Alligator mississippiensis: one gene and its partner. The protein of the gene in region 2 binds, or shares a complex with, the protein of the main gene of each other region. Links are inferred from orthologs where the notes say so. Each region holds a gene or a part of one and is shown on either strand. Other genes may lie near its edges. The genes, in order: GATC and GATB.

What was found.
Region 1: GATB (region 2) and GATC share a complex: the UniProt entries of both Homo sapiens proteins name them as parts of the heterotrimeric GatCAB amidotransferase (AdT) complex. The link is inferred for Alligator mississippiensis from reciprocal best matches to the Homo sapiens genes GATB and GATC.

Annotation. Positions count from the first base shown.
Region 1 is NC_081833.1:20,951,642-20,968,024, reverse strand, and holds GATC (glutamyl-tRNA(Gln) amidotransferase subunit C, mitochondrial), read left to right. Parts: upstream 1-8,528; 5' UTR 8,529-8,568; coding exon 8,569-8,658; intron 8,659-9,399; coding exon 9,400-9,450; intron 9,451-9,686; coding exon 9,687-9,853; intron 9,854-10,675; coding exon 10,676-10,779; intron 10,780-11,187; coding exon 11,188-11,246; 3' UTR 11,247-11,492; downstream 11,493-16,383. Other genes in the region: cytochrome c oxidase subunit 6A1, mitochondrial, read left to right, coding at 1,184-1,323, 2,214-2,300; TRIAP1 (TP53-regulated inhibitor of apoptosis 1), read right to left, coding at 6,880-6,963, 8,317-8,463; SRSF9 (serine/arginine-rich splicing factor 9), read right to left, coding at 13,702-13,845, 14,987-15,159. UniProt on the Homo sapiens protein: Allows the formation of correctly charged Gln-tRNA(Gln) through the transamidation of misacylated Glu-tRNA(Gln) in the mitochondria. The reaction takes place in the presence of glutamine and ATP through an activated gamma-phospho-Glu-tRNA(Gln).
Region 2 is NC_081825.1:96,835,161-96,851,565, reverse strand, and holds the start of GATB (glutamyl-tRNA(Gln) amidotransferase subunit B, mitochondrial), read right to left. Parts: upstream 8,212-16,405; 5' UTR 8,136-8,211; coding exon 8,002-8,135; intron 4,035-8,001; coding exon 3,884-4,034; intron 1-3,883. UniProt on the Homo sapiens protein: Allows the formation of correctly charged Gln-tRNA(Gln) through the transamidation of misacylated Glu-tRNA(Gln) in the mitochondria. The reaction takes place in the presence of glutamine and ATP through an activated gamma-phospho-Glu-tRNA(Gln).

The DNA of each region.
Region 1 (16,383 bases), on a different chromosome or scaffold from region 2:
CCTGGCCATGAGAAGGATCCCTCCAGGGGAGGGATTTCAACTTAGTTCTTCCTCCTTCCAGCTGAGGGCTTTTCCAATGGAAGTGTTGGATAAAGAAGTGTAACCATCTCCTCCCTTGGAAAGCACATGGGTGCTTACTGGAGGAGAGTGCAGAGCAAATCCCTAATAGGGGAGGTGTGGTTTCTTGCAATCCAGTGAGTGGTGCCTAAGCCCAGAGCTGACACAACCAGGTTGTGGGGCCCTGCCCCTGCTCCGATCCAGGCCTGGACCCAGAGAAACTGCTGTGGGGGTGGGGTAGTGAGTGGCTGGATGCAGAGCTGCTGCTCTGTGCTGCTGCTTTGCCTCCCACCCAGCTCCATGGGGCCTGAGGCAGTTGCCCCAATTTGCCCCCTCCCCCTCGGACGGCCCTGCCTAAGCCCTGAAGAGTCGGGGCTTGAGACTTTTCCCTGTCTTTGGTATCTTTAACTGTCAATGTCAGAAGATCCCTGTCTAAAGCATGTTGGCTTTTGTGGTTGCTATTTAGTTTTTAATTCTTGATGCCTCGCATATGAAGCCAAGGTGGGAACTCCAGTAGGTGGCTAAGCTCTGAAGTTGAGCACTGATCACTACAATTCTTAAGCTTGCTTTGTGTGCTTAGCCCCATATAACCAAATCTTTCAAAAAAAAAAAAAAAAGGAAACCCTAAGCAGACTGTGGCTAATGAATCATTTTGCCAACCGTAATATTGTTCAGTTTGAAATCCACTGTTAAGTGTACAGGGTACTTATCAGCAGAAAGTGGGTGGTTATATAGGGAATTATAAAATAGAAAGAAGGCTTTCACTGTTTTAAAAGTAACAGACTAGCATTGACCAGAAAAATTGTCTAAGCAGTTCTGTCAGAACATGCCACTTAAAATAAATCTAATTCTTGAGCATAGATAAGCAAAGCTTTGTAGAAGTTGCTTTTGAAACAACAGTTTTTTTTCTGTATGTAAACCGTGAAACTTCATTTTGAGACTGCTTCCAAAGTTTTTAAAAATGATAGGTTGTTATGCAGAACTTCCCATTTTGTAACGAGATTAATATAAAATGAGGCTCCATCTCATTTTACTAACACTTCCTGAAATGTTGTTCTAACAAGTGTGATTTTGAAACTCTCTCTAATGTTGCCCATCCTCAGTATCCTGTTTCTCTCCTTGCTAGCTCGAACATGGAAGCTCCTGACCTTTTTTGTTGCTTTGCCTGGTGTGGCAGTCTGCATGTTGAACTGCTACTTAAAGGCGCAGCACAAGCATGAGAGACCAGAGTTCATTCCTTATCCTCACCTCCGTATCAGGACCAAGGTATGTGCAGCAGTATGGCCCAGACAATTACTTCCTCAAATCACTTAGTATGGTTCTATTGTCAGCCACCCTGCCTTTTGTCTGCTGCTGAAAGACAAGGAACCATCTTTGCATTTGTAAGGTTTCAAGTGTTCACACTTCCTGTGAGGTGGGTTGTGAGCTTTTAAGATCTCATCCAAGACATTTTTGTAAATGGACATATCTAATTTTCATTTTCTTGAGAGTGAATTTGATGCATCATCAAAACAATTTTGCTCTTAAATAGCACATCTCTCTGATCTTAAGCTAGACTTAAATTAATGAATAAGGACAAAGACTGGACCAGAGTTATCAATGTGGGGGTTATACAGGCATAGGAGTTGCAACTACGTTGAAGTAAGAGGGTTGCCTTGTGAGTGAGAGAATCCCTGAAATAGTGGTTAGCATCTGTCCATCCATAGGAAACTTGTTGAAAGGGTAAAAATACTAGCAGGTTCTAATTCTCATTCTACTGTTACACTTCTATGCAGAATGGATTCATACTAAGCTGCCTCTAATGCGTAGTTGTCTTTGATATACTGACTCAAACTCATTCCTACAAATACATTCTTGTGACTGCTCTTTGCACATCTCTGCATTGCAAGTTTGTTTGTCTTTTTTACCTTTTAGATGGTGACTTATCCAAGCACCCCAGACTTAAACTGAAGCTCCATTTTGTGCTTTTATTGTTTCTGTTCTAGCATAAATGACAGGTGTGAGGTCTGCATCAGTTGGCTCATTCACTACCCTTTCAGTTGCATAATGTTCTTGAGCCTGGCTTTACTACCTTTTACAGGTGTTATTTTCTTGTACCTTAGCATTTCTGTCAAGCAATTACCAAGCAATTTTTAATACATTTCTTCTTTTAACAGCCCTTCCCTTGGGGAGATGGGAACAAAAGTCTATTCCACAACCCGCATGTCAATCCTCTCCCAACTGGCTATGAAGATGATCACTAAAGATGTGGACCACAGCAACTTGAGCTACTGATATATTCTGACCAGAACATTTGTATGGGACCTTTCATCTAAACAATTATTCTGCATTCCTGTACTGTAAGGTTATAAATGACATTCTGACCCCTTGTACTGCACCTGTACAAGAGGTCACCTTAAATAAATAATTCCACTTGGATTTCTGTGTGAATCTTGTGAAAAGTCTTGCTCTAGTTTCTACCCATCTAGACAGTCTTATTGTTAATACGTCTTTCAGGTAAAAGGTTTTCAACTTTTAAGCAAGAGCATAATGGGCTTAAATGCTGCTGCTTTGTTTTTTAAGCAGACCCTTACTTACTGCAGGCTTCTGCTTTATCATTATTGACTCTAACAGATGAGTGGAAGATGCATGCAAGCATCAAGATCTTTAGCATGGTTAAGTTTCAGATTAAATTAATTCAATTTGAGGTCTGTCTAATTGACCTTGTTCCCAAAGCCATAATGTATGTTTTACTGATTTGGTTGGTATGGAAAGATTTCTTGAGACCACCAAAGGGCAGGAATATTACTAAAATAAAAACATGAAATCTATTCTAGCAAAGAAGCTTGCACCGATCCATCTATTCCAGTGTTCCTGATGCTCCAAATTGTATACCAGACATATAGGGAATAACAGATCTATCAACAAGACTTGGTCCCATTAATTAATGTTTTACTTTAGAAATCCTGTGCAGCATCTCCAATGACCTGAGATGTTAAACCTGTCAGAGAACCAGAGGGAGATGCATCTTTGTTAAGAGGAGGGAGGGGTGGGGGTGGGCTGAACAGGAAATAAGACCTGTAGTTAGTAGCAGGGAGAAAAATTGTTGAGAAGGGAGCATGTGGAATATAGCTGTCCAGTTGGAGCCTAAGATACAAAATCATATACTGTAGGGCTCCATATGGCATTTTTCTTCTGTAAAAGTGAAGCAAAGGTGTTTGTTTCTTCCTTTAGATTTCCAGTAACACAATCTCTTTATAGAAACTTGATGGACTAGAGGCCTTTTATGAACTTAATACCATGTTTGCCCAGATCCAAGATGACCTGCTCTCGTTCCTCTCCCCCCTACCCCAATTAATTATATGCGTAGAAAATTGTAAATCTATCAGTATTTTTCTACATATAGAACTTAATTAGTGGAAGATCATCTTAAATGCATCCTCTGCACTGCTGTGGTAGTGGGGTGAGGGACAAGATGCCTACCCCCTTCCCTACTTTCTGCTACAGTTCTGATCCTTCAGGGAAGCTGGCAACAGGAGTAGCATCAGCAGCCAGCCTGGTCAGGGAACAGTGGCAGTTCCAGGCAGTGAGGTTGGGGAGCTGGAGCAAAAGGTAGAGGGGTGAGGGGCAGGTAAAGGTGGGGAGGTAAAGAAGTGGTCCCCTATCCATTCCCTAGTCTCCCCTGTACTCACACCATTAAGTGAACCATTCAAATCTGGGGTAGGCTGAGCTATCATCTGCCCTGGGCTCTGTTCCCCTCCCATGTATGAAAAGTATGTTTTGTTACAAGGAAAACACTTTTTTATGTTCATGTATCAATGCTTATTTTGTCTCCAAATACCCTCTGTTGCATTTTTCTTTCATGCTGTTCCTAGAATCAGAAGAAATGGGGAATTCTAAGAAGCCCACGTAAGAAGATGCAGTTTTCCCTATCTCAACTTTACAGGATTTAATTCATACCCTTTATTACAGCTCAACAAAGCAATTTTGGCCAATTACATGAGGCAGCCTAAATAAACTATCCCCTGTATTAAAGCACATCTAAGGCGCTGTCTGGTGGAGCTGGTTTTCAGGCACTACAATTCCTTGTTTTCCTCCTACACAAGCTTCAGTAAAATGGAGTGAAGTTGCAAGCACAGGTGACCCTTAATAAAGGAATGTTAGTTGCATATCTCAAACCACCTTAATTCTGTTCCTGCAACAATGTCAACTTTCATCCTTCCCCATCTCTGCCGGAAGAATCAAAGTGCTGTATGGAAAAACTGGTAATGGTTAGCTTTACCTTAACACAGCATTCGGTTTTTCTTCTGAGAATCATTCATCTAGTCTGTGTGCTTAACCGGGGTACTATAAGATCATTCTAAAGGTGCTGCACAATATTAGCACTGTTAGATGTGCAAACACCTACATGTTATTCACCAGAGAAAGCCAGAAATTTGAAACAAGAATCCAAAGTAAAAAATGCTCTTTTATGGTCTTCCTGCGGTCAAAAGCTGTCGTCGTTTTCCTGAGTTCCTTGCCCAGAAAGAATTGCTGTTATTTTTTTGTATCAAAAAATGAGTGAAATCTAAAAGCTGCCATTTTCCAAGGGCTGCCTTAAGTCTAAATTTAGATTTAGATAAGGAAAAAAGCCAGCTCTGCTTCTAATAACACTCTGGGTGGGATTCAATTATTAGATGGCATTTTACAGGGTCAGGTTCCCAAAGAACTAAATGCTTGGTGAAGATTCTAGGAATGATTAACTCCGCTATGCCATGTGTGGTGTCAGCAGTTCAGTCTTTTGGATACTGTGTGCAGTTATACAGCAACAAATGTTTTAGGCCAATCTCAATTCTAAAGGTCATGGCTAGCTACATACACTCTTAAATAAGAATTCAACAGTTGCAGAGCACTGCTATTCAGCAGAGGAAAAATCAAGACAAGATCAACTGCAACCTTAACTTCTACTTTCTGGAAGATGTGTTGTTTGTTCTAAGTACTTTTAATGGCACTGAGTACTTATTCCCCATGTTGCAGAGATACTACTATGACTTTCTGACTTTTAAAGCTATTGAAAAGACTGGGAGAAGAGGGGAATTTTATTCCTGTGATCCTAGAGCAGTTTACAGCTACAGACCCTAAGAACCCGTCTCCTGTAAAACACCATTGTCTGGAGATACTGTGCTTACAGCCTTCTATGGCATCTCATAACAGAACTCCATCCCTGCAAGTCTCATTAATTGAGTACGGCACTCCTGCTCTTGAACCTAGGAAGGCACAATGGAGTACAGCTGGTCTCTTGCTAACTGTATTCCCAAAGAACCAACACTGTTTTGAGCTCTGAAAGAAAACAAAAAAGGATTTATCAGGTTGGGCTTTGCCCTCTAGCCTTTGACTCCATATTCCCCTCACAATCCAGCAGCCCCTTATCTTCACCCTAGCGTTCTTGAGGGTAAAAGACTCAGCTCTTTTATTGAACTGGCTGGGAATTTTCCCTTTTGCAAACTTCAATGTCCACATGAAGGGAAAGAATGACCCCTGATTTGGGCCCCTCAAACCCCCAAATCCCTTGCCTTTTCAGTTCCTCCGACTGAACAAAAGCAAGAAAAAGCCACTTTCTTAAGGGATCTTGTAGGATATTCAGTGAGTTGAAAAAGGTAGAACTTACTCCTAATAGACCTCATGTCTGCATAAGGAAATAGCTATCAGAAAGCTGACGGGGAAAAATTCTTTCCTTATGAGAGGTCTCTAGCCACTTATATTACAATTCACAGGTTAGTTCTAAAGATTAGTGATGGTACTTGCAGAAAAAAAGATATTAAGCTTACATCTCTAGCAATCCTTTGCCCAAAGTATTTCAAAATCTAAGTCGAGTAACTCTTAAAAAAAAAAAGAGAGACTAAACTACTAAATTTGGGTGCTGGACATGCCTTAGGTAGTCCTATCTTGATGTGCTTTTTCTTCTTCTTCCTTCAGATTTTTCTTCTGGCTCCAAAGTAGCAAGAAGTCTCTACTGAAAGAAAAGCAATACAGATGCCCTTATCCAATCATAGTTTACGTGAAGCCTAATCTAGTAACTAGGGTCAGTCTGGCACTTTTATGGTATAGCATGGAAAGGTGTAAAGGATACTGACTAAGCATGCACTGCAACTTTACTCTCGAAGCTGGAATCACTTGCTAGTAGACAGCAGTAACATATTATCAGTGCTTTGAGTGAGGCTACTGAGCATAACTCCTCAAGTCGGTGTTTCTCCCCTGTGGCAGGTTGCCTTCGGCCTTTCTTGAAGGCCAAAGTCAGGTTTAACTACACCCCTGCATCCTTTAGTTAAGTATAACTTGACCTGACCAGGTTACATTCTTCATTGCATATATCCAAACACTGCAGACCCAATGGTGGTAGCATTTAAAACACTGCTATAATTAAACGGATGAGAGGCAAGGCTGTAGCCCATAATATTTAGTAAAACAAAGATCAGTCAAGATGTAGCCCACTAAAATTTGGCAGCATGCACCTCTTCATGTTCATCTTAACACTGGAAATTGTCTAATATATAAATAAGAAACAGAAACCAATCCTAACAAGCATTCCTCAGTTCAGAGTACATTTGTTTAGGAAGTTAAATGAAGGGTTTTTCACACTGCAGAACGTAATGCTCATTTCAATGCTCATTTCAAATGGAACAGTAATTGCCACACAGCTCAGCATTAAAAAACTGCACAGAAGACTCCTTGCTTTTTAAAAAACCAGACAGAAGCAGCAGCTGATTTAAAGCCACCTTCCCATCAGCTGTCCTCTAGTCTTTTGTAAGATGATTTTTTTGAGCCCAAAGATCAAGCTAATGGTTCTGTGTGGTCCAACTGAAGTCATGAGGAGTTTTCAGCTTTTCCTTTGCTGGGGCCCATGAATTCCAGCCCTTCAATGGGGATGTCCTTCTCCTTAATAGCTTTCTAGGAGGAAAAAAGAAGCAAATATTTTATACATCTTTTGCTGTGAAGACTTTCTTGGTGCCTGATGTGATTTAAGACCACTCTGCTCTAGCTCAAGTTGGTATTAAGGCTTCCAAGCTGGACCAAAGAAAGTCTGAGAGTTCCTGCTAAATCAGTACTAAACTGCAGCCTAGACCCTCACTCATCTCTCATCCACACTCCTTCCCGCTACCATCTCAGTAAAAGGGCAAATTCTACTTAGTAAGGGAAAGAAAGCAAGCTGAGGGACTCTCTGAAGAAGTCACAGTGCTGGAAGCAGAAAAAACAAAAACAGACGTGAATGAAGGATTTGTGGAGGACTAGATTTTAGATTTACAGCACCATTGGAGGAATAGAACTCTTTTGCTGAAGGAAAGAAATTAACGAAGTGGTTCTTAACCAAAAGGGAAAAGAGAATGCACATTATGAAGAATGAAAGAATGAAATGTAAGGAAACAGCAAAAGAAGGCACACAAGTGGAAACAATAAATTTTGTAAAATTAAATGTCTAAAAATCCCCAAAGGGACACTCAAAGACTCTCAGTGAACTGTGCGGTCAGCCCCTTCTACCTGCGTTGGAAATCATTAAGGAATGATGGCTCAGGTGTTTGGCCCCTTACAGGGTGTGGGTCCTGCTGATGAGCTGATACTGCAAAATGAGCAAACATGGTCTCACATATATTGAGGAGGTTCTGTAAGAGGTGGTAATGCTTCTTTAGACTAGCTTGGAAAGGTTGCTCCTTTGTGAAGTTTTAGCCTGTCAAAAAGCTTATATGACTCTAAATCCAAATCAGCTCACTATGGGCATTATATAATACAGCCCTACAGGTCATCGTGGCTTCACAGTGAGGTAGTGCTGCAAATAAAAACATCCTACTGAGGTCTGTGCCATGCCGGGCAGCTCCTCATCTGGTGTTTTGTCTCAAGGAAATGAAACACTTGAGAGTTTGTAAAGAAGGAGAAGCGATGCTGGGCTATGGCCAGGTGAGAAACAGACACAAGGGATGTTTTTGAAGAGGAAACATTTGAGAAGACAAGAGGAGCCCGTGCTGCCACCGCAGACGTTACCACGGTGTCAACGAGCGACCCGCCAGCTCTCGCACGGCATTTCTTCTCCCGGCGGCGCCCGGGCCCCGGGGTCCGTCTCCCCGCCAGCACGCCGAGCGCAGGAGCAGCAGCGGGCACAGGCTAAGAGGGTTTAATCATCTCCCCGGCTCGCGGGTGCTAGCAACAGGCCCGGGGCCCCTTCCTCTGCACCGGCCTCGCGCGACGCGACGAGGCTTCCCTACAGGGGAAGGGCGGGAGGCGGGTCTCGCACGCGGGCGCGGCGCCCACCTGCACGCAGAGCTGGTAGCGCTTGAAAAGCTGCACGCAGGGGTCCCCCGCGCTCTCGCCCTTGAGGAACTTCTCAGCGAACCAGCGGTTGAAGCACTGGTCGTACTCGCGCTTCAGCTCCGTGCAGGCCTCGCCCACGCTGTTCATGGCGGAACCTCCGCCGCCTGAGGGGCGGGCCTCGCCGTGACGTACTTCCCGCCCGGCGCGGTTGGATGACGTATTTCCACCGCGCGGCTCCTCTGCCGGGCCGGGATGTGGGCGCTGCGGGGCTGCCGCTGCCTTCGCGCCGCCTGGTCGTGGGGCGGGAGCCGCCTGGCGCGGGGAGCGACCGGCGGCCGGCAGGTGGCTGCCAGCGCCGGGGCTGGTCACGTGCTGTCGTACCCCATGGGCTGGGGGCGGGAGGTTTTGCCTGGGGGGCGCCTGGCGCCGACTTCCTTAGAAGCGAGAGCCCGGCAGGGGCAGCGCTGAGGGCGAGGGCTGAGCCCAGGCCCGGGGTTGTTGATTTCTCGGGCTCCAGCTGCACCGGGCATCCCGGGACTGGGTGCGAGCGCGCGAAGGCTGGCGGGGGCCGCGATCTCCTTGCTCCGTTTCTTGGTCCGATTCGATGCCTTCCACCTTCTCTCAGGGGAATTTCTCCCTCAATGTGGAGTCAATTAAACCTACTGTAAAAATCCCCAGCGGGTGGAGACTCGTCCTTCCCGGGGCCTGTAAGCAGCACGGAGCCATTGGGCAGGAGGCAGCAGTGATTTGCACCTTGTAGATCAGGGCTTGCCAACGTTTTTGGGCAGAGTGCCCCAAACACCCATAAACTCGACCTGAAAGATATTGGTGTGCCAGGGGCAGATAGCGGGGCCCGTGAGGCAGCGCAGCCCTGGCCCCTTCCCTGCCATCCACCCTAAGGCACATGTGCCAAGCAAAATGCTTTTGATTGCTGCACTCTGGCACCTGTGGTGGCAGGCACTGCCTACCCCTTGTTGTAGACTAACAAAAGTGTGCGTGCGCACATATATACTATCTACTTTGGTTAGTCTGTTTTCATCTACCCTGCCTTATATTTATCATGGCCTATCTCTTGCACTTTAGATTGATCAGAATCCAGAATGGCAGCTAGAGGAACAGAAACCGCTTCCTCAGGTATAATGAATCTATCAACATATGTACATTTAGTCCAGGCCAGTCTGTTTCTGCTAAATGATCACTGCAAATCTGAGACCGAGTAATAGAGGAATTCCTAATATCCTCTGGTCAAGACTCAGGATAGTTTATCTAGCTTTATGTTTATTCATTCTGCCTATCCTAACTCATCCCCATATGGTAGTCTTAATACAGGACCTAGACATGTGACTTCTTTTTTTCCCCCTTTCTCAAAGAAAAAAGTAACCATGGAGTTGCTTGATCATCTGGAACGACTGGCACTAGTTGATTTTCGCAATTGGGAGGGCGTAGAGCGGCTGGAGAAAGCAATTCAATTTGCTGATCAACTTCATGAGGTTAACACAGAAGGGATAGAGCCAATGGATTCGGTACTTGAGAACAGGTAAAAAATTATGGTTAGTGACTGTTTTAACTACTAGTTTTCCAAAGAAATGCTGCAGTAAATTTTGATAATTTTTTTGCCACTAATCATGCTAAATATGAAGTTGGCTGGTCCTCCACAAAATCCTTTATTTTAGGTCAGGTGTTTTTTTCTTTTGGGAGGGGTAGAGGAGTGTCTACAGTGTCCCTAAACTTGGAATATAAACACAAGGCTGTACACAGATTTCTTAATGTTCTTATGTAGACCATTCATGTTAGAAATATCCTGTATTACAAATGCAAAATCATTGTAAATCACTCCTGAATGTTCTTGCACCTGGTGTCTGCACCCCGAACAGTTTCAGGGACCGTTTATATAAACAATGCCTTCTCTGTATTAGTTTCTTTAGCAGCTTCAGTTCATCAAGAAACCAGATTTTCTGCATGCTTATATGAAAAAATGTGTTTCACTCAGCTCAATATAGAGTAGGGCTGATAATGTTAAGCACTAGGCCAACTGCTGTATTTATTTCTTCAGAGAACTCAGGACATGGTATTGCTCATTTCAGGAAAGCTCAGTAAGTGGCAACAACACATGTGCCTGGTCAAATGTAAAGCTTGACCTGAACAATGGGACTGGTGGAAGCGTGTTACCCAGCTGCCAGGGATCTCCCAGCAAGACCTAAATTCAAGATGCAACTAGCATATTTTAGTATGACAAGTTTTGAAGGCACTTCCTTCCGATTCTAGAGCATGACTTTGCATCCTGTATCAGACTCTCTAAAGCACAGTTGGCAAAGTAGGTCATTTGGAAAAAGAACATTAAGTTTCCTGTGCTCCCCAGGTGTCTGTATCTCAGAGGAGATAACATCACAGAAGGCAACTGCACCAAGGAGCTGCTACAAAATGCCAGCCAGACAGCAGAAGAATATTTTGAAGCTCCACCAGGTAGAGTTCTGTTACAGATGATGCTAAATGGGACTTGATACCTGCCCTGATTTTTAAGAAGTATTAACCTGTCAGTTAATTCACTTCTGTGTATACTGAATGGTGGTAAACATGTACTGAACTAGGATGATAGCCACAGTCACTTGTTAAGATAGAGAGGGATGGGACCCTAGCTCATTATTACTTAGTGGCACTGCAGAAGTTATGGCTTTATATTTACACCTAATGTTGCTTATGCAGACTCTTTACAAAAGGCAGCTTTTTGTAAACTCAAGTGCAGCTTTTTTGCAGGGGAAAACCTAGTCACTGGTAAGTGTTTAAGCCACAAGGACAAACATGCGAGTTGCAGCAATATTATTCAGGAAACTAGCAGGCTGTCTCATACTCTCATTATCTGTTTCCTATTAGGTAACATCCCTCTACCAAAGTTAGAAGAGCGTGAGAGCTTCCTGCAGGACTCCAACTGAAAAGCTTGGGCCAGAATGCCATACTGGTTCTTTCAGCAGTATGCTGTTGGGGACAATTAATCTTATGTAGCTACAGCTGATGTTACATTATCCCAAGAACAACACCCACACACGAGTACTGATTCTTTCTGCTGCTCCTCTTTACAATATTTTATTTCTATCAAAGGGTTTGTTTGGATTATTTTAAAATATACACATGAAGGTGGAAGGTGTTAAGCCACTTTCAAAATAGAAATATGGCCTCAATACTGTTTGCTTAGTCTGCATTTGGTAGGGCTGAAGTGTCAACCTGGAGAACATCAAACAAGTTCAGTACTCTAGATACATCTGCATATCACAGCCTTGATGACAAGGGAAACTAGGACTATCCAACTTTTCTGTCAAGTTATGAGAGGGGCTGGAGAAGAAGTTAGGTACTGCAGCTTTGTAAGAACCTAATTCACTTAAACTATTTTTTACTTCCTGGCTTAGCTCTGATTAGAGGTCTAATCAGGAAAAGAAACCCTCAAAGTTCAGTACAGTAGAACAGGTACTGTTGAGGGAACTTCTGCTAGATTAAAAAAGCATTTAGAGAAAACGCTATTTTTACCATATGCCTTCATCTCTCTCAGCTCTGACTAGTCTTACATTTGTATATATACTGCTTTCCATGTATAGCTTTGTGGAATGCTATGCTAATATGCCAGATTCCTACATTTACACTTAAGTAAGGCATATAGAGTTTGTTTATACATACAAGTGATTTTTTTTGATGTAAAGTTGAATGCCCTGCCCAGAAAGGCCAGTGGAAAACACTTATTGTGAGAGGCCATTTGACCATCCATATGCATTGATTAAACTGAAGTTCTGGCTGCTTTCTGATCATCGTAACCAGAGATCCTGGTTTTCTCTGATTTAAAAAAAAAATGCAAACCAAAAAACAAACCAACAACCCAATTTTCAGGTTAAAAAAGGAACCCAAAATCCACATTTTTCTGTGATCAAAATGAAACACCACTACATATATATCCATATATTACTGCCGTTTCATTTTGATCACAGTTAAATGTGGATTTTGGGTTACTACTTTAACCTGAAAGTTAGGTTGTTTGGTTTTTTTTTAAATCAGTGAGAACCTGACCATAACACTGTGATGGCCTGGTGTATAATAAAGCAGTAGAGAACTTTGTTCCAAGCAAACACAGTTGTAGTAGTGCTAGTAGTTTGTTTTCAGTGGTAAAATCACTTATAAGGGGAATGAAAGGTGCTATAAGCAGTGCATTTATTTCTCCTGCTGAAACTTTCTAGTGTGACAGAGCCTGCCTTAAATAAATGTGCTACACTTAGACATGCACAATAGCCTTTGTGATGTCAGAACACATTTTAGGAACTGAAGCAGTTCAGCAACCTTAAAAGGTGCAAATAGATGCCATTAGCAGAAAGCTAACAGATGCCTTTGCTGTTCTCAGTAATGTACCTAGTAGAAACTAGACTGGAACCTGACCAGTGTTCTATCCTCAGCAATTTGGGCAAATCACTTTCTCCACCTTGGAAGTGACAGTGATGCTGTCTTGTTTATAAATTGCTTTGAGATGCAAGGAAAGCAGTAGTTGTAGGCCTGCACTGAGTAGTGTGACAGTTAGATGCAATTCTTTTTTCTACCATTTATCTGAAACTGAAGTCAGTAGCTTTTTCTGTACTGTAGTTGAGTTATTTATAAACCAAATTAGATTATTACAAGCATAGAGAATGCTTGGTTGATGTGTTTAACCCCCCCCCCCCAAAAAAAACCCAAACAAACAAACCAAACCCACCAAACAAACACGGAAACCTGCAACTAACAAGCTACTTAGCAGCATTCTAATTGCTATCTTCTTTTTCTCTTAATGCAGTAAGCTTTCCCTCTTTTGAAATAGGATTAGTTTCTCTGAAAAGAAAATGTCTTCAGGCACTGTTTTTCCCTCTGCTACCCTAGACTGCATAATTTTGCTACTGAAAACTGTTCTCCCTTCTTAAGCAGATGGGTACCCAGTGGGCATGGGACAGAGCTTGCAATCCACTCCCACCTCTTTTTAATACAATCCTCACATAAAAGACAACCACCACTGGTGAGTTACTAAAACATTTAAATATATTTCTACACAACAGGCTGAGCTGTACAGTCACTCCATTACTGTTTAGCACCATCCTGCAGGCCAGGAGATAACTGCACAAGTTTTTGAGTTTACTTTTCCTCAGCTAGAAGGGAAAAAATAAACCCTTGACATGTTTTCAAACAAAACACCAAAATGAAACCGCAACTTTTCAAAGTGTTGCCAACATTGCCCTAGTAAGAACTGTAAATCATAAAAAAAAGATTTTTATTGAATAAAAAAAACGAGTTCCTACGAAAAACTATCCATCAGTTTTGGAATGTAAATTCCGAGCAGAAAGAAGCTCAGTTCACATTTTAAGAAGTCCCTGTTGTTGGATGCAATCAGTATGGCCTGAAGGGGGAGGAGTACCGTGGTGATCCCCTGCTTTGGTATGGAGAATCACGACCCCTTGACCCAGAACGGGACCGTGAGTAGCCATAGCTGGAAATTCTTTCAGGACAGACTCTGATATAGGAAGTTTCACCCTGAAATTTAAACAGAAGAAAACCCAATTTTTTTATACTGCATCCTGATTAACAGTTCTTCACTAGTATGAACAACACCAAATGGAGCCTAGGACCAATACATAAATAAACAAAGATTCTACTAAGTTCAACTGCTGCTCAGGACAAACTGCTCTGATACTTGATGCTTATGGAGGAAAGCATACTTTATAAAATATTGCACCTGTACTAGCAAGGAATATCTTGTTAGCTATCATCCTCGTCTCTAAAGGGCAGAGACTCAACAGCTGGAACAGGAAACCCTGAACAAGTTCCTCCTAGTTCAATCAAATGGTAGAAAGCTGGTCTGACTGGAGGTGAAGGAATGGACAAACTCCATCCTTAAATGCTGGAGGATAGTAGCTATAGAAGCCAATACGATCCTTTAGCACAGTACGGAGAGGCCAAGCCCTGGTCACAATCATGTACCAGTAGGGGAATCTCCACAGCAAATACTCAACCTTCAACTGCCAGAGATGGTTGAAGCAGAACAACTCAGCCACTGGAAAAGGTGGATACAGTGAAGTAGCACAGCTCTAAGAACAAGACAGCTGTGACTTACTAGTTTAGACATCAGAACCTTACAGAGATTGCCACAAAATGATGCTCCATGCTGGGGAGGAAAAAAGACAGCCATAGCAACCTGTACAGATGCTTACCAGCTCATCCTTTGGGAGAATGAGGAAGTTTGCTCCAGCTGCGAGTGGTGAGCTGAGCTCACTTACTTGAAAGAAGGCTTTGAGCTACTAAGCCCTTAAGAAGTATACAAAAGCAAGCTGGCAGCAAGCAGTCCAAACCCTTTGCTTCCACACAAAGGATGTACCAAACAGAACTCATGTTTTTCACAAACAGGCTCGTGTGCGCCTTGTCCTTCCGGTTATGTATTTAAAAATATCCAAAATTAGATTTCCTCCATGTGCTGTCAGACCATAATATACTGAGCCACTGTGAGGTATGTTTCACAAATGCTAAACCTCTCAAAATTATTGAAGTGTGTTACAATTAATCACCAGCTCCAAGGTTCTGCTGTTACGTCTCTTGAGAGCAGCATGGCACGGAAAGAAATGTATGCTTCTCCATGACTGCATACACACATGCTCTTCCCCTGAAGGCACGAACCCACCTCATGAGATCGGAATTTGGTGTCATCCAGTTTACGCAGTGCGTACTCCATATCTTCCTTACGGAGAAATTCAACTATACCCATTCCATCTTTCTGTACATCTGCATAACAAACATCACCAGCTTCACGCATGTGATCCTTCAGGTCCTGCCAACTGCCTGATGGAGGAAGCCCTGAGCATGGAGAACACAAAACATAACAGACCATGTAAACTAGAAAGCCATCTACTCTGGTTGAGCCAGATACGTTGACCCTGCCATGCCAGGGGCTCCATCACTTCCATATGCTTTCTCACTCTTCCTGAGGTTGAACACTGCAATGAGAACACAGGAATCCAAGAATGCTAAGTTCCATTCCAGAAAACAAGTAGCTGAGTCCTCCAAAATTGGTGATCAGTCTCTCTGGAATTCAAAGTGCTGAGAGTTCAGAAGTATCCGCTCTTTTTGCTGCCGCAAAGTAACTTAAATCTACCCCTCAACCCAGTACATTTGAAATGAAGATTCTGTTCAAAAGTAGATTATTACTTTTTAAAAGAGTTACTCAACCTCCATTTCCCATCCAGGACAGGCTGGTCCCCTTCATATCAGAAATTAATTTTCATCCTGAGATTCCAGCAGCTCATTCTCCAGTCATGAGTAAAACTTTCTGGAGTTAAGCTTGTAACCAGCAGCAAATTTCCCATGTGAAGACGAAGGATGAGGTTTCCCGAGCATGCACTGGAAAATCCAGTGTGCTATGGGGCCTGGTATTTTTAAGGAATGCTTTATAGTGCCTTTTAGCACAGAAGATTTCCATAATGGTCATAGTTACAGTTATTCTCCTCTGCCCTCACTCTTGAAGAGGAGGTGTACTCTCTGTTTCAATGATTAGGGTACCAATCCTTCTAGGGTGCCAAAGGTATTTTATTGGAGTAGTTTCCACACAGGGAATTCTTATCGCTAGAAAGTTACAGGGGCAAGCAGAGAAATGAGAATTTAGCAACTTGTATTTTGACATGATGCATGGGTACAAGCACTGGCAGCAGGAGGGCTTGTTTGTTTGTTTTTTTAATTAAAGGACTGATTCCTTTTAAAAATTCAGTAAGTGCTGAATTTCACTTTGTATTTTTGATCTGCACTGCAGACCTTTCTAGTCCCTCCTGCAAATAGCCCTCTCCACCCATATGTCCTATGACAACTCACTACCTGGATGGCCTTTCCAAGTTGTTTAAAATAGATCCCACTGGTTGTTGATTGAGGAGGGCTCCCATCCTAGGTCCCTTAGAGTCATTCTCTCCAATAATGAGTAGATTGTGTGGAGCTGCTGAGACGTAGATCAGTTTAATACATATTTTTTTAAACAAACAAAACGTCAGAGTCTATCTGAGCATCATTTGCTCTAACAAATCCTTTTTGTTT
Region 2 (16,405 bases):
TTGATGGGGACTGTGGCACCTCTTGTCTGGGACTAGAAAGGGTGGAAGAGGGCTGTGCCATAGAGGGGTTGGAAGCCAGAGTGCAGAGCTACGAAGGTTTAATATGGAGGGAGCATGGAAAGACACAGCACGCTCCAAAGGCGGCTGGAACAGGAGGGAGAGCTGTTGGAGGTGGGAACTGAGATCAGGTGGGCAGGGTCAGTGGAAGGCTCCCTGCAGCAGAGCTCTCCCCCACAGTAATTCAGGGGGCCTGCAGAGGAAACAAGAGACCCATGGCCCCATGCTTTACCGCCTCCCAGCTCCAAGACCCCATTGCTGCAACCCTCTCCCTCCCCGATCCTTGCAGCCAAGGTATCCTTACTCCTAACTGTACCCTGCTTGCCAGTCCCTTAGCAGCAAGTGATAGCTGTGCAGGTCAGAGACCATATCACCCATAAACATGCAACTGCTCACAGCACATTCTAACTTTAGTACTCCATCATATTCCATTGATTTAGCATGGCCTAAAGGTAACATGTAACAAACCCCTTTAACATCAAAAGCAACATAATTTGGCAAATGGTTTTTACTATTTGCATGATTTAAATAGCTGTGCCTTACCCATGGGTGTCTTAGGTGGTTTATTCTGCGTTGCTGAGAGCCGTCTGGTTGTTTTATTATGGACCTGATTTCATCTACCATTAAGCAACAACCCTGATTAACTTCAACAGAACAAAGCTCAGGTTGTAAATAAGGTAGCCTTAATAGCTCATATACAGAATGCTACACAGGGCCTGCCACATGTCACCTGGCTGTGCAATTGCAGGGATCTTCAGAAGCTGTTATTTACAGCCCAAGCCCCTGTTAATATTAAAGGTAGCTAACCAGAGCTCATCACTGGAGCCCACATACCTAGGGGAGAGGTGGTTAAAAAAAAATAAAAATAAGGTGCACACTTGTGCACATTATAGTTTTGAAAGCTCTTATAGAGTTCTACAAGACAGCAAAACCCTCGGAGAATAAAATAAGTCTCTGAAAAGCTGTCTATGTTATACTTGGGAAAGTACCATGATTGATCAGGACGTAATTCTCTCCAACAGTTCCATGGCAGGAGGATCAAAATTATATAGGATTATAGTATAAGCCAGAAGAATATAGCTGTAGTCTACCGCTGTCATTGGGAAAGATATGTGGGCACTCCCTCCCCTACCCCACCTCCCCACTCCTCAAACTATCCCTTAATTCTACCTCATTTCCAAATAGGATTGCAGCTGCACTGTGGCTCATGCCCACAGATTTTTCTCTAAGGCACATCATGAGCAGCAGCATGATGAAATGGATGTGACACTCGCACATCTGTACTCTACTAGTGATCCAGAAATGTATGGCAATCATATCAGTTTCCTTTAGTGCCATTCGTTCTGGCACCACTGGGGAAGCATTATAGGAGGCACAGTAATACACAGATGGTCCTCCTTTGCTACTGTCGGATGATCTCTCCATAAATTTAAATCCCTGTGATTCCGATAACTGTCACTACAGTTCTCAGAACAACATTTATTACTGTAGTTATCCTCTGCTGCAGACGCAGCACAAATATTGTGTTTTCCCAGTTCTACTAAAATATTGCTTTTCTTATTAGTTTCTCTGCAAAATAGCAAGAGTTCAAAGGAAATATTAGTTACTGAGATCCTAGAGACTTATTCCAGCAAAATAATACAACTTTAAGAAAGGTACAAATTTTGGTCTAAAATTATTTAGAAGATTTGCAAAAATATCATTTCCTATCACTCTCCAGATATTTCTAATGCACATGCCTAAACAAATCAGTCCTCCGATGCCAAAACAAAGATCAGTCTTGGCTGATGTAGTGAATGCTGTGGGAAAACAAAGCTTACATAAAGAATGGGCTCCATACTACAGTCTTACCAACAAGTACAAGAAAATTTTAAATATTCATATTCAACTCTGCCCTCATTGTATTTGGACTAGGATCCCCCCCCTCCCATACAGATAAAAGCAGTTGAAGGAAGCAAACAAGAGCAGTATCACTAATTTTTTATTAATCTAATCATCAGGTTCTTTGTTAATCAGGTGCAGTTATCTTCTCCACCAAAGTCTGTAGCTGGTGAAGCCCATGATTTTCCGCTAGGGAACACTCATGAAAGCAAGAGCCAGCCCCTTTTATAAAGAGCAAAAATGAGACTGAAAACAAATCTCGAGGAAAAAGATATTTTTATTTAACAAAGACATATAGAGCCAGAAAACCCTCCATGAACTATAATTCCACCATGCTTTGGCCTATTTTTTTTTCTTCCTGGGCAACTTCCAATTTGATTCAATATATGCATTAGGTGATTTGATTTCCATTCACTGACCAAGTATTAACTAGATGGGCCAAAACCAGAACCTTGAACTTAAACCACAGCAAAAATGACAGTAGAAAGGAAGGGTAGACAGACATAAAACCCATGCTCTAATCCTGCCTTCCTGGTTTTTGGCTATGTACTAGATTCAAAATTAAAAAGGAATTTATTTTCCAATTCAGTACCACCAACATCTCCTGAAAACAGTTGCTCTCATCAGTTCCATACAAGATACCAGAAATCTTTTGAAAACAGTGTATTCATAAGAATTTAACCCTCCCTTGGGGTAGTTCTCATTATACTGTGACATCTCCCTGGAATTTACCACCAATCCAATAATCTAATATAAACTATACCACCCCCATCCACCTTCTAATACTTCCACAAGTACTTTTACTTTTCATAATACCTTTTACTTTGTAACTGAAGTCACATTTCTGTTCTCAAGCTCCCCAAGGTGTTTTCCACATGGTTTGGATTCCCCCAAAATCCTACGTGCCTTTCCAGAGGTTTATACCCAATTTAAAAAATCCCACCTACTGTTCTTTTTCAGAGAAGAAAGTGTTCAAATAGGACAATAAAAGAAATTCAGGTTTGACTTCCAATGAAGTCAGTCAGTGAAGCACTTCTGCTTTAAATAGTTTGACTCCACTGATACTCGTTTACAAAGACCACAACAGAATATACTTGATGTATGAATAAGCCCATTCAATAGTTACTTTTTCAAACACATCAAATTTGTATACATAATACTTTACATTTATATGGCACCTCTCTCCAAAAAGGATCCCCAAGAGCTTTACAATGTGCAAGTACTCACAAGAATTACTGTCATGGTCACCTTAGAGAAAAATCATACTGAAAAATTCAAATGAGACTTTAAACTAAAAAAGAATTATGTTGCCACTAATAAATTCTTAGGACTAAGAGTTATCTCCATAATCCCTCTTTTACTACTCTGTAAAGTGTTATGAATATTTATAGCATAATATAAATAAAAAATAAGAACGGTTTACAGTTTTCCAAATCAGATAGGTTTTGCTTCAAAAAACAACTCTGAGGCATTCCAAACAGTAAATGACAGCTACATGAAAACACATAAGGCAAAGTAATGGCAATAGCTGCTTGACAATCTAACATGCTCATCTTTTGTAGGATTTTAATACCTCCAAATATTTAAGGAACTTCTAGTGCTGCTTACTAACTAAATACAGTATAACCAACAAACATCAATCAACATTACCCTGCAAATACACTCATTCTGGGCTCATAAAATTTTTACCCTTAATCCTGCATTACTTCCTTATCAGGAATTTTCAGAGGTCTGTGGTTACACAACTACAACATACATTACTCAAAGAATATTAAAATAAAGATCTAAAGTTACCAAGTAGGAGCTTCAGGCAGATAAATTCAAGAACAGGGCTAGATTTAAACTCTTATGAACAAGGAAAGATAAAAATTGTGCCTTGAGAAATCTGCTCAGCAAAATTGTTAAGATTCTGTTGTAAGAGAAGGTAAGGTTAAATGCAACTTACTGGTAAGGTTCCTGGTAGAGAAGCATCAAAAAAAGATACCAAAGAGTTAGGGGGTGCTGTAAACTGCACTTGGGAGCCAGAGAAAATCTTGGAGTTGGAACTGATCTGTGCATGAACTTCCAGACCCACCACTGCTCTCCAGGGAGCAACACTGAAAAAGAGGAGAAATAACATATAATTAGTGTGCATCACTCCATTAATAACTAGGAAAATTTATACAAGACAAAATAACAAAAAAAACCTTGCCACTTAATAGTGTGTTGTGGTCCTATGCTGCTGCATTGGAGGCCACAGACTAATCTACATCTTTTATAATCTATAATCTTATAAATCTTGAGGCAAATAGTGCGGCCAAGTGTTTTTATTATGTACACATTAAAGATGATTTAAGTAGATGAGAATAAATGTATGAATCTGAAAACTTTTCCATGAAAAGCTGCACTGAAATAAGCAATGTGAAGGAACATACTGCACAACCCCCCAATTTCGTACCCCATGGAAATTATGAAATCATCATAAATATCAACTGCTTCTCAACTAGTTTGATAAGTCTCCAACAAACAGGTGGCATATTAAATTATGTACACATTGTCAGCTAGTCACTAGCATGCTGGGAAAGGTGGCTCTCCAGAGCAATGTTAGTACCAGATTAGCATAAACATTAGTAGTCTGGTAATAGAGAAATCATCATTTCAACTGGAGAGTGACTGCTCTTTGAACATGCTCTACAGATAAAGCTTCTCCATATCATCTGAAAAGTAATTGCAATTCTCACATCCATAACCTTTATATGGACAAGAGAAAGAGGTCACCTTTACAGTATGAATGGCTCGACGGTTTCTGTAAGTAATTATCTGGCCTTGTACGAATGCAGTGACACAAATAATATTTCAGTGGTGAAATCACATTTCTATGGCAGGACACTTCAGCAAATATAAGTACCAAGATAGTTATAACAGATAAGTGGGCTATGGAAAAACATTAAACAAATATATCAAATATAGTGTTTCTTTCAAAGGTGAACACAATGCAATTTTTACTTGCCAAGACTTGAATTCTGTGTCTGTCCTCCAATAGCTGAGGACATCACTACAGATCACCAAAACTTAATCAAGCATATCCTATATAAATCACTCATTAAAGGAAGGCAGATACTATCATGTAGGACTTTCAGGCATTCAAATAAAGTCTTCTACAACCATTTTTGCTTGTGTATGCTGACTGGAACCATATAAAATTACATTTTAAAAAATGAAGAGCCTTATCTAGTTTTCAACTGCAGACCTATTAGAATATTTAAAGTAACTGTCCTCAATCCTTCAAAAACTTATGCAAACTTTTTAAAGCTTTGCTACCAGGAGTCACCACAATGACTCCAATTAAATCAACTGGAAACCAGTTAAACAAATGAAACGCAGGGCCAGTGAAATTAAGCACGTGCATAAGTAAGTGTTTTCTTTCTGCATTTCCACAATTCATACTGGATTCACTCATGGTGACTCAATCAGCAGGTACTTTTTTGTGATGGCTGTAATCTTATGCACCAGAGCTTCAGTTTTCATTTTAAAAATAATAAGAATTTAGCTATTATAGTTCGAAAGAAAAGTCTCCAAAGTATAAAGCAAGCATAAAACAATGCACTGATGATTGCCAGAGTCTGCAGAGGGCCTGAAAGAACAACTCTGATAAATATGGAGAGCTTGCATTCAAAATTAACTTGGAATCTGCATAAATCTCTTATGACAATTTAAATATCAATGCTAAATTACTTCGCTGCTGATCAGAGTACACTAGAAAGTGGCAAGATTCTCAGTCCAAAAATGCTTAGATGGCCCTTCTGGCATTACAAGTCGGTAGAGATTTAGACTGCATCTGCCCCTCCATTCTGGGGCCTGATTGTAGCTCAGACGCAGAGCTAATCAGTTTAGTTTGTGGTTATGGCACATCCTTAGTTGATTCCAGCTATACAAGTGCAATGTTCCGTTTCCAACGTTTATTGAATAACCAATTAGAAACTATTTCTGCCATGGCATGGGACAAATGTCACATGTGTAGACCAGGCTCTTTTTCTACCAAAATCTAAAGTTTGGCCTAATTTTCCCTGCACAACCAACTCCTTTAAAGCTCTTCTCCTTCCTAAGCACAATCTTCAAAGTGTCCCACATGAATCCCTTGATCTTGTGTTCAGATCCATGCAGATCAAAGCCTTGGCTTCCATGGGGGTATGAGGGTTTTCCACAGGTGCACCAGACTGCTGTCCTGTCAACACCCTCAAAAGGGCACCAAAACTCCCGATGGCCTTTTTGGGGCTTTCACCCACTGCACTAGGCTCCAGGTGATGCCTACAGACCTATGACTGTCATCCTTAGCTGGGGTCCACAGCCAGAAGTCTCATGTAATAGCCCCTAGTTTTGGGTGCTGGCAAGGCTGGGGGCTTCCCCCCTCCCCTAGAAGTCAGGTCTTGAAGTAGTTACTATAGTATGGCATGAAGCTTCTGAACTAGCAACAGAAATCATGGACACTGATCTGGAGCTCAGACCTATCTTTTCACTTCCTGATTTAGGGGAATCCTTTTAAGCTGTTGTCCAAAACCAACGACAACTTTCCAGCATTTAAGTTCTTTGTGTCTACCGACTACAATCTACTACTCATACAGTCTTTCAGCTGCTTTTCTTTCACGTAGATGTCAAACAGCCCCAAACTTTTCAAACAAATCAGCGCTTTGCTTTTTGATTTGGTTCCTGAACGTTTTGTTCTCTCTTCACCTTTTCTCTTACTAAGTTCTAAAGATAACCGATTCCTTCATCTCTCCTCTGGTTTCATTTTTTTCCCCCCTCACTCTTTCCTGTGCCACTGTTCAATTTCCAAATTGTTAAGGCTAAGCATTCTTTCATAGTTTCATAAATTTTAGGGGCTGGAAGGGACCTTACAGATTGTCGGGTCCAGGCCCCCTGCACTTGGGCAGCAAGACCAGCAGAAATATGCTTCTACATTCTGCTTGTCCCCAGACAACTCTGAGGTAAAAAGACTTTTTCAGCCTCTCTCTGTGCCTGGACAAAATTAACTATTCCAAATAGATTTTACCACACCTTCAGCTCTCCTGTAAAATATGAATTTTCATTTCTACCTAGGAGAACTTTTACAATTTCTGCTCTCTCCTATGCCTGATGAAGGGTGTGTGCGCCCAACAGCTTGCAAAAAAATAAAACAATTTGTTTGACTCATAGAAAGTGAGGGTTGGAAGGGAGCTCAGGAGGTCATGTAGTCCAACTCCCCAAAGCAGGACCATCCCCAACTAGATCATCCCAGCCAATATCTAGCTGGTTTGCAAGTATCTAAGTGGTCTAATAAAATATATCACCTCTTCCATGAGTTTTGATTCCTTTTGCCTCTAGATCAATACAGCTACAACCTGGATACCTTCAAAATCAGTCTGCATTAAATCATCGTTCACTAATAGTTTTTTTTCCTGAGGTCTAGTATCCCTTGGGGCTGGTGATGGTTTAGGCTTAGCAATCAGGTAGGGCTACCATTAGGGTTGCCAACCCTGCTGGATTGGCTGGGAGTCTACTGGAATCAGCACTGATCTCCCAGTGACTACTTAATGAATTCCAGGAGATTTTAAATAGGAGATTTAAAGAAAATTAAATCAATTAATAACATTACATCATGTTGGGAAGAAAAAAATCTCCCAGAATAGTTTCAGTCAGAGCTGGCAACCCTAGTTACCATATTTCCAGTTCCAAAAAAGAGGGCAACTGGGGGTGGCTGGGTATATGATGAAGTATGTGCTGGATACAATAAATGACAAGTGTTAATAGCCCAGAAATTAAATGTAAAACCAAAATAAAGCCACAGCCCCCCAGCACCAGCTCTCCCAGCAGCTGCAGGGGGACGGGGCGGGGGGGAACCCGTGGGCGGGGGAGCTGGGCCAGGTCACGTGGACTCTGACGTAGGCGGCGCGGCTAGGGCAGAACGCGGCAGGGGGGAGGGGAACTCTGCAGGGGCACCCCCTACGGCGGGCGACGTGAGTCCTGACGTAGGCCGACGGGGGAGTTTGTAGGAGCGCCCCAAGTAGACAGGCCTCGCCCTCCCCGCCCGGCCGCCCCGGGCCCTACCCGCTCTGCGCCGCCGCAACCTTCCCCGGCTCCCGGCCGAGCGCCGCGGGCTGCGCCCCGCTGTGCAAAGCTCCTGCCCGGCGGCGCCAGGCCAGCCGACAAAGGCGGCCGCCGCCACTCACGGGAGCCGCCATGTTGACCAGCTTGGGCGGGGATCATGTGACCCCAGCACCGCCCTCGGGTTGGCTCCAGCGCGCTTGTTCCGCGGTCCGCTGGGGGAGAGGTTTGCTATGGTGATGACGCTTCAGTTTGCCAGTAACGGCCGCAGGGGCGTGTGGGGGAGGAGCACGTTTGTGGCAGGCGTGTGAAGCGTGCCCCGCCCCCCCAGGGAAGCCAACACGTGGGCGGCGAGGGAGAAGACGGGCTGGGGCGCGGGCCAGCATCCACGGGCTCGCCAGCGAGGCTAAGGAGCCCGTGGGCTCTGCGCTATGAAACTGCCAGGAGAGGGCAACGCATGAGGGCCTGGGAGAGGCCCCATGGGCGGGAGGGGACCCCAGGCCAGAGCCTCTTTTCTGGTCAGGGAAGTGCAAAAGCCACAGAAAAGGCCACATAAGTGATTTTGGGCAGAGAACTTTGCTCCCAGGGTTGCTAGGTGGACTGTAATGATCGTACTTGTACAATAATCTCCACCCTTATACAATGTACAACCAGTATTAGTAAGTGTTTAAAATGTACCATCATTTTTGAGGGGTGTAGGCTGTAGCCGTGTTTGTCTAAGGACATAGGCATACAAGGTTCTTTGGGTGAATCTGATATCTTTTATTAGACCAACTAAATAGTTGGAGATCAATTATTAAGCAAGCTTTTAAACCATCATTTTCGAGGCAGCTTGCTGATGCAGCACATGCAAAACCCAAGTCCTGCTGGGGGGGGGGCGGGGTTCTTAGCTGACTTCTGGGTGTGCTGTCAGCCCTTTCTTATGATGACTGTTTGCCTCCAAATAAAGAAGCACTTCAACTTTGATGACCCAGTTCTCACTCACTGGCTTCTTACAAGAAGCAAGAGACAGTAAATTAAGAAAAAGACTTATTTGCATATTCTTTCAGCATAGCATAGTTTTTCAGCAGATATGATCATTTTGAGTTTCCAGTATGATAATTTCATCTTTAAGACCTGGCAACGCTGTTTGCTGCTCTCTAGTAGACTGGGATCAAGGGGGAAGTGATTTAGCACCGGCATTTCACTGACATGTGCCAGTCACAAGATAACGTTGAATGGAGTTGATCCAGGGCCTGGAGGAGGCTGGCAGCTCTAGGGAACAGGACAGGCTGTTCATAAAAACCCCAGAGAAGTCAGGCTGGGAGGGACCTTCAAAGGTCATCTAGTCCAACCCTCTGCCTGAGGCAGGATCATCCCTTTCCAAACTGTCCCGTACAGCCTATCATTTAAAACACAGGAGCTCAATCTCTGGCATGTGGGCCAAATGTGTCTGACCTGTGAAGCTCCCCACAGGTTCAGAAGTCTTGTGGCGGGTGGAGTGGTGCAAGTAATGCTGCCTCCCCTCCCTTGCTGCCAGATTCCCAAACCCTGTGAGCTGGGGCATGTCCCCTTCTCCCCCAGCATGGCCAGATTGTGGCTGGGCTGTGCCCCCTTCTCCCCACAGTGTGGTGGGATTGGGGCTGGGTTTTGCCCCTTTCTCCACCAGCACAACTGGATTAGGGCTGGGCCACACCCTTAACCCCCCGCCCCCCAGCTGCATGGGGCAGGCCACACTCCCTCTGCCCCACCCTGCGCAGCCAGATCAGATTTGGATTTGGTCCATGGACACTCTCAACATTGTCCTTTCTTCATTGCCCAAAGTGGAATAAGTTTTGGGCACCACTGATCTAAACTCTTCATAAGACTACGGCTAACTGATGCAACACAAGATACAGCACCCTAACCTACCACAGGTAACCACTGCAGCCATCATCCACAGTCATAGGCAATTTAAATCTCTCTGTGCACTTAACTGAAATCCCAGATTGCTGGCATCACCTTTATAGTACTGTTTTGCTCACTGGCTTCATTTTAAAGAGGTGGTTAGGTCTTGACTGTGTAGGAAGCTTTGTGTTGTTAGCCTCCTTGTATCCACCTGGACTCCCTTTGGCTTAACAGAGCACAGTCTTCCTAGTCAGAGCTCCCGATAGGCTGAAGCTGTTGTGTATAGATGTTATCCTTGCATCAGGTTTCTTTAACAATTGCCTTCATGAACTCTTCTGGATTTTATTATTCTTTGGTACTTTGGAGGCATCAGTACATCAAATCAGCAGGTTTTTGGTATGGTTTCAGAATGTGGCTTAAGTACATACTGGTGTGAAAATGCTAAATTTTGGATTACTGGACTTGTTTCAAAGCCTGGTATTATGATGTAATAAAACATTTCTGAAATAAGTAGTAATAAGTTAAAAGCTTATAAATATTAACAGCACATTAGGCAGAGTCCTACTCTTATAGGATCTTACTGGATTCTGCCCTTTAATTGCATACTTGAAAAAAAGAGGAATATATAAGAAACTGAAGAGGGTACATATCTTCCATCCCCAAACATCTCCCTTCCCTGGAAGGGTAAGTAAGATTGAAAAAGGCCCCATGTTTATATTGCTGACCCCCCATGCCATAGCAAATGGCTTCCAAAAATAATCCCATAAAAAAAAACTTCTGTAATGCTCTGTTCCAATGACCAAATAGTAGATGAAAGCTTACTCTCACAGTTACAGGATGTTGATCAATTGCAGACAAGCAAGGCATGATTGTCTTTCCCAGCAGATTACTTTGAGGTAAAGGAATTCTTATTTGTTTCTTTGTGCTTTGGGCAGTAGCATTCAATTTACAATGTGTTTATAGATTATGCTGTGCCTTGGAATTGCTGGAGTTGCATAAAGACATGCATGACAGTGGATCTGGACTAACTGTGTAGACTTCTCTATTGAAGAAGGCAGGTATAAAGGGGAGTTTGCTGTGAAATCAAGTTTCTTATTGATATAGAAATGCACTGGATACCTAAGAGTAAATTGGAATTTCATGCAAGACAAAAGCCCTATATTTATGTATCATCTAAGCAAGGCACACTCTTCTTTGTCCCACTTGAAAGAAGATCCTCCTAAATTTCAGTGTATAGGGTCAGAGATCTCTAAATTCTGCTTTCTTGTAAGCTATGTTTAGCATGCATTCTTATCCCTTTTTGTGAACTGCGAGATCTCCCTGTAGCATATCAGGGAGTGGGGTATTCAGACATGGGGTGTTTTGTTGGATTGCTCACAGGCTGACTGTAGTATCTTATTTCAGCATGTGTAATAAGGGACAGACAAAAACTTTTGTTGGTTTTTAACATGAAGGGTGTGGCTGTCAGCAGAGTAGAGACCTAGTCGGCCAGATAAAATAATGTCCTTACATTAGTGGTTCTCAACCTTTTTAGACTCCAGGCACCCTTTAGAAAGTGCCAAATCTTAGCTTTCACTCATTTTTTTGACCATGTTAAAAATAGAACGATTCTTCTGTTGCAGAGAACTCAAAGACCAAAACAGGTTTGAATGTTTTTGACACTATGGATGACAGTACTATTTGAGATCTCTGGGTTTATTTTGTGAATCAGATGTGGATGTTATGCTAGGTGTTTATGCTAAGTTTGTACACCTAATAGTGGTAATATTGTACAGCACCGTTTGAAGGATCTTGCAGCACTCCAGCGTGCTGCAACACTTTGGTTGATAATCACTGTTCTACAGGGAAGAATAACTAGGATTACTGTGTTTGGAAGATAACTATGGTAAAGGAATATTTTCAGGCTTTTAGATCCCCTAAAATTACCTCTGTATCTTGAATGCTGTTTTCTCTACAGGTATATATAAAAATATTTTCCTCATTTTCTGCAGTTTTCAACTGGTTTTCTATACCAGACCAGGCCTTTACTAAAGCTTCTGAAGATAGGAACAAAATATAAATAAAAAAATACATCTAACCAATTTGCCATTATCTTATTAGTGAAATGGAAGGAGAAAGGGAAGTTTCTTTTTGACCCCAGCAGATGATCAACTTAAGCTAAAATGGTTGCCGTATATTATCTATCAGTTCTGTACTTGCATGTTGTTGTTTAAGTGTGTGGGTGGCCTCAGGGTGGTCTTTCATTAAAGACTGTATTAATCTAGCAATAAAAAAATGGCAGAAACTGAGCCAGAGAGTTTTCTTGGGCTGTGTCCTGTGCCAGTGAGATCCTTAGCCCCATATTGCAGGTGTTCTATGCTGACCTTTACATTTCAAACATCAAGAGACAGAGATAATAGATAGAGATAATAGATTTTGATTTTGGGGATGATTTAACTTTGTTTGAAATGTCATTGTCTTTGTTTTGTTAAATTATCTAGGTGTGCTGTTTTTAATAGGTTTTTGCACCTGCAATTTGAATCGTATGTGGCCCTGAGGTTGGAAAATAATATCTGATGCCCTTAGAAGATAATCCACTCTGACACAATGCCCTTCTTATGTTTCAGGTCAGTCAGCTAGGGCAGAGTTACTGTTGTACTCATTGGACCTGTGGAAATCTTCAGACAAGTCCCCCCAGGGCACAGTCAACACTGTGTAAGTAGGTGTAGCTCCACTGATTTCATTCCACAGTAGTGGAACTTCAACCACTTCTAATCCTAGTGCCTCTGCTAACCAACTAGAAGCAAACTTCTTGCCTTCTAGAATGGTATTCAAGTATTGTGGGTATATTTTTTTAGCAACACTGCTGAGCTGAATTTGATTCTGTGTTATTGGGAACTGACCTCCCAAAAACACAGCATGCTCTCGTCTTCACACCATAAGCCTGTACTACTTTGGCCATGATTTTCAGTTGCCTGTCAATTCTCTGTAGCAGGAAACCAATGGTATCACTTTCTTGGTGATCACACCCTTTGGCATTAGTCCCATTATACTGTACACCATCTTAAAGGGCTTTGAACTAAAGCAGGTACTGTAATTTAGGAAGCATATCAGGTTTATGTGTAGGTATTCTACAGTTTACCAAGGAGCAGTCACCCAACTTTATATTTTACCTCACTTCTAAAGTAATGGGATTTACATATTGATATAGCAGAGACAATTGGCAAAATGGCCAGATTGCAGCAGAAAAAACCATTGATTTGTTTTTGAGCCTCATACAGATGACATTGTTGAAGACACGCACAGAAGAAAATGACTCACGGTGTTTCAATAGATAAAAGCACTGATCAGTATAGTACTTTCCATTTCATTGGCATCTGCATAAAAATGTCCTTTGATAATGTCTTTCCATTCCTTATTTGCTGTTTCCCTTCTTGTGGGGTGGAGAAAGGAGAAGTGTAGAAGGATTTAGCAGATAGCTCTTTTCTCCTCTCTTCTCAGTTTTTGCTAGTATTTTTGCCTCCTTGTGTTTTCCCCTGTTATTTTCAGCCAAAATTGCAAAGAGCTGTTATTGGGTTGCTATGTCTGAGGCCTGATATTTCCTAAATTAAGAGCAACAACTCTTGTTACAACTCTTGTTTCAAACTATCTATGACTTCATATATAAGGTCAGAGATATAAAATTTCAACTGCATATGGTTTCACCTAACACAGGCCTAGAGCAAGAACTTTCTCCCTTCACCCCTGGATATAAGGGAAAACCTAAGGTCTTTTGTATGAGGTACATATCTAAGTCCTAATCTTTCAGTGTTTCTAAAGCCAGTGTAACACAGGCTTGCAGGTTAACATAACCGTTTATTTTCAGACAAGCCATCCCATCCAAACTCTGTTTGTAATATAAATTGTCCATCCCAATATTATCTGAAATTGTTTAGGGTTTCAGTTTCATGTGGTCATTTCAATTTGAAGATTCCAGTTGACAGCCTCACCCAAGGAAAAAAATAGACACAAAGACCAATACTAAGTTTGTTTAAGAGGCAAAATTCCAGTGAACCTAGAAATACACATCAAAGGGTTTTCCCTGTAGTGGGACACAGCATTAATAATCAACAGAATCTCCAATTATTATTGACTTTATCTCATATGAAATAAGTGAAGGAATTGTTTGACAGAGTTGTTAAGCAACATAATACTTTCAGTAAGCCTGTTATAATAATGGTATTATTTTAGTCTAAAATTAATTTTTTAATCAAAAACACTTTAAAAATAGTCTCAAGTGTTAAATTCCATCAGGAATTCTGCTTTTCATAGAAGGATTTCTTTAAAATGCAGGATTATTTATAGGTTACAAGCAGCTCAAAGAGGTTACATTATAAAAGAAAATGATACTCTAGAGCTTTAGAACAGTGCTGCTTGGGTTGCCTTTACTTTACTCAGTGTAGAGAATTGCTTTTAATTTTCTGAAGCAATAAGAAATACGAATTAAAACTGGTGACCAGATGGAACTTTCTGATTAAGTTTTGTTGTGCTAGTAGTGCAATAAAATAAATGAAGGAAAAGAGAAACAAATCTGAAGATTAATCCAGTAGGTTCTGACTGAAGTTTCCACTTACTGAAGTGAGATAACCTCATCCCAGCTTTCCCCCTTTTTCCTGCCTGACAACCTGCACCTTGGTATTGTTCCAAAAAACTAGAGTAATTTTTATTTTGAAGAACTTTTGTATCTATCATGATTGTTCTGTACCTCCTATAATTTTATGTGTATAAATTTATCATAGTATTTTGAGCCTTTGCTTTATGTATTTATGGGTATATGCTGCCTTAGGTGCATCTCCTCAGTGAGCTCAAAAAAGAGATCCTGATTCTAGTGAAGTCGACAGGAGTCTTACCAATTAATTCAGTTGGTCTCTATCTTCACCATTGGACTCTTAAATCATTTAGGTGCCCATGAAGTATACTTAGGTTCTTATAATACCTTCAGTACATTACACAAAATAAAATTTGCCTTCTGCTTTTGCTCATTTCCTCTGATAAGTTTCAGGAAACTTTATTTATATGGCATTATCTATTTATAGTGTATTGACAAGCTTTCTGATAATGGTAGCATGGGCATTCCAATCAAGAAGTGCAAATAATACTTTCTCCTGGAAACAGCAAAAAGAAGTTGCTGCCTTTTACTATACGCCTTGATGCTTCTCTTCCATTTCACAGTTTTGGTTCTCCCAAAACCAGAATCAGGTGTTCAGATACCAAAGCAGTAAGTGTGGTAAAAATGAAATATAAATTAGATGAACAGGTATAATTTTCATGCAGATGCAGAAAGGCTTGTATGTTTCCAATCTTGGTAAGTGCCTGCTCCATGGCTCTAGTATATGGGCATGTTTAATCTAATTTATTGTGTAGAGGAGTATGTGCTGAAGTTACTTGCATGAATTGAGTGATCATGTCCAGTTTTCAACACACCTGAAGAATGAGAACTTTTGTTTTAAGTATAGCACAAAGAACAGCAGCTATGAGATATAAGATTGTGCTACTAATGTACTTATTCATTGAATTTAATGGACATATCTAAAATTGAAAGGATTTTTCATTCTTCTTGACCTGTTTGGAGAATCTGTCAACTACTTCAGAGAGTGGCGTGTTCTGTGGGTGAGAACTGCTGTCCACAGGCAATAGATTAATTTCACATAATATGAGTAGCCATCAGATGTACTGACAGAAATTTTGTAGTTTCTTGGATTAGTTTTGAACTGGTGACCTACAGGTAAAAGCTCTTCTCTGGTATTTTGGCCCCACTGAAGCTGTTAACTTGTCTGAGGCCAGATTTCACTGTCTGTACCTTGTTATCATTACTATTGGCTTTAGTGTGGTATTTTTTACATATAGTATCAAAGTACATCTGTTTTCCATTTTTATTATTTATAGAAAGTATTAAATATTATGCTGCCTTGGGAACACCAGTCATGTAAAAGTTATATACCAGCACATAAAATATATCTTACTGGGATAACTCTTTCTTTTATTTTAAAGGGAGGAAGGAAAGGAGGATTAAGTGTTCTTACTTCTTACATGATCTCAGATTTGCCCTTAAGCCTCCAATTATGGGAGTGAGATTGTCTGTGAAGAAATTTTTATTAACCTATCAATCAATAATTGCTATGGGAATGAAGAGTTTCAGCTCTACTAACTGATTAGTAAATTGCAATCTGAAGCCAGACATATAAGAGATGTTGCCTGCTTTGCAATATCAGAATGATGGATCATTAAATTTTAATAAATTGGATAATCTTTGAAGTTTATATTTCCTCCTTGCTTTACAAAGTACTGCAGTGTGTGCAAAGAATTCAATTCAAGGTAGCTCACACAACACAATTTCTCTGTGTGAGAAGGTTTGTCACAAAAAACTCCCAGGGACTTCAGTGAGAGTTTGCATGAAAAAAAATCTGCAGGATTGGTCCCAAAACTGCTGCAAAAGCAGGAGCTAAAGAGTCAGCTTTTAATATCCTGTTTTAACATTACCAAGATTATTTCTAGGCCAAAGAGACATCAGAGACCAACCCTA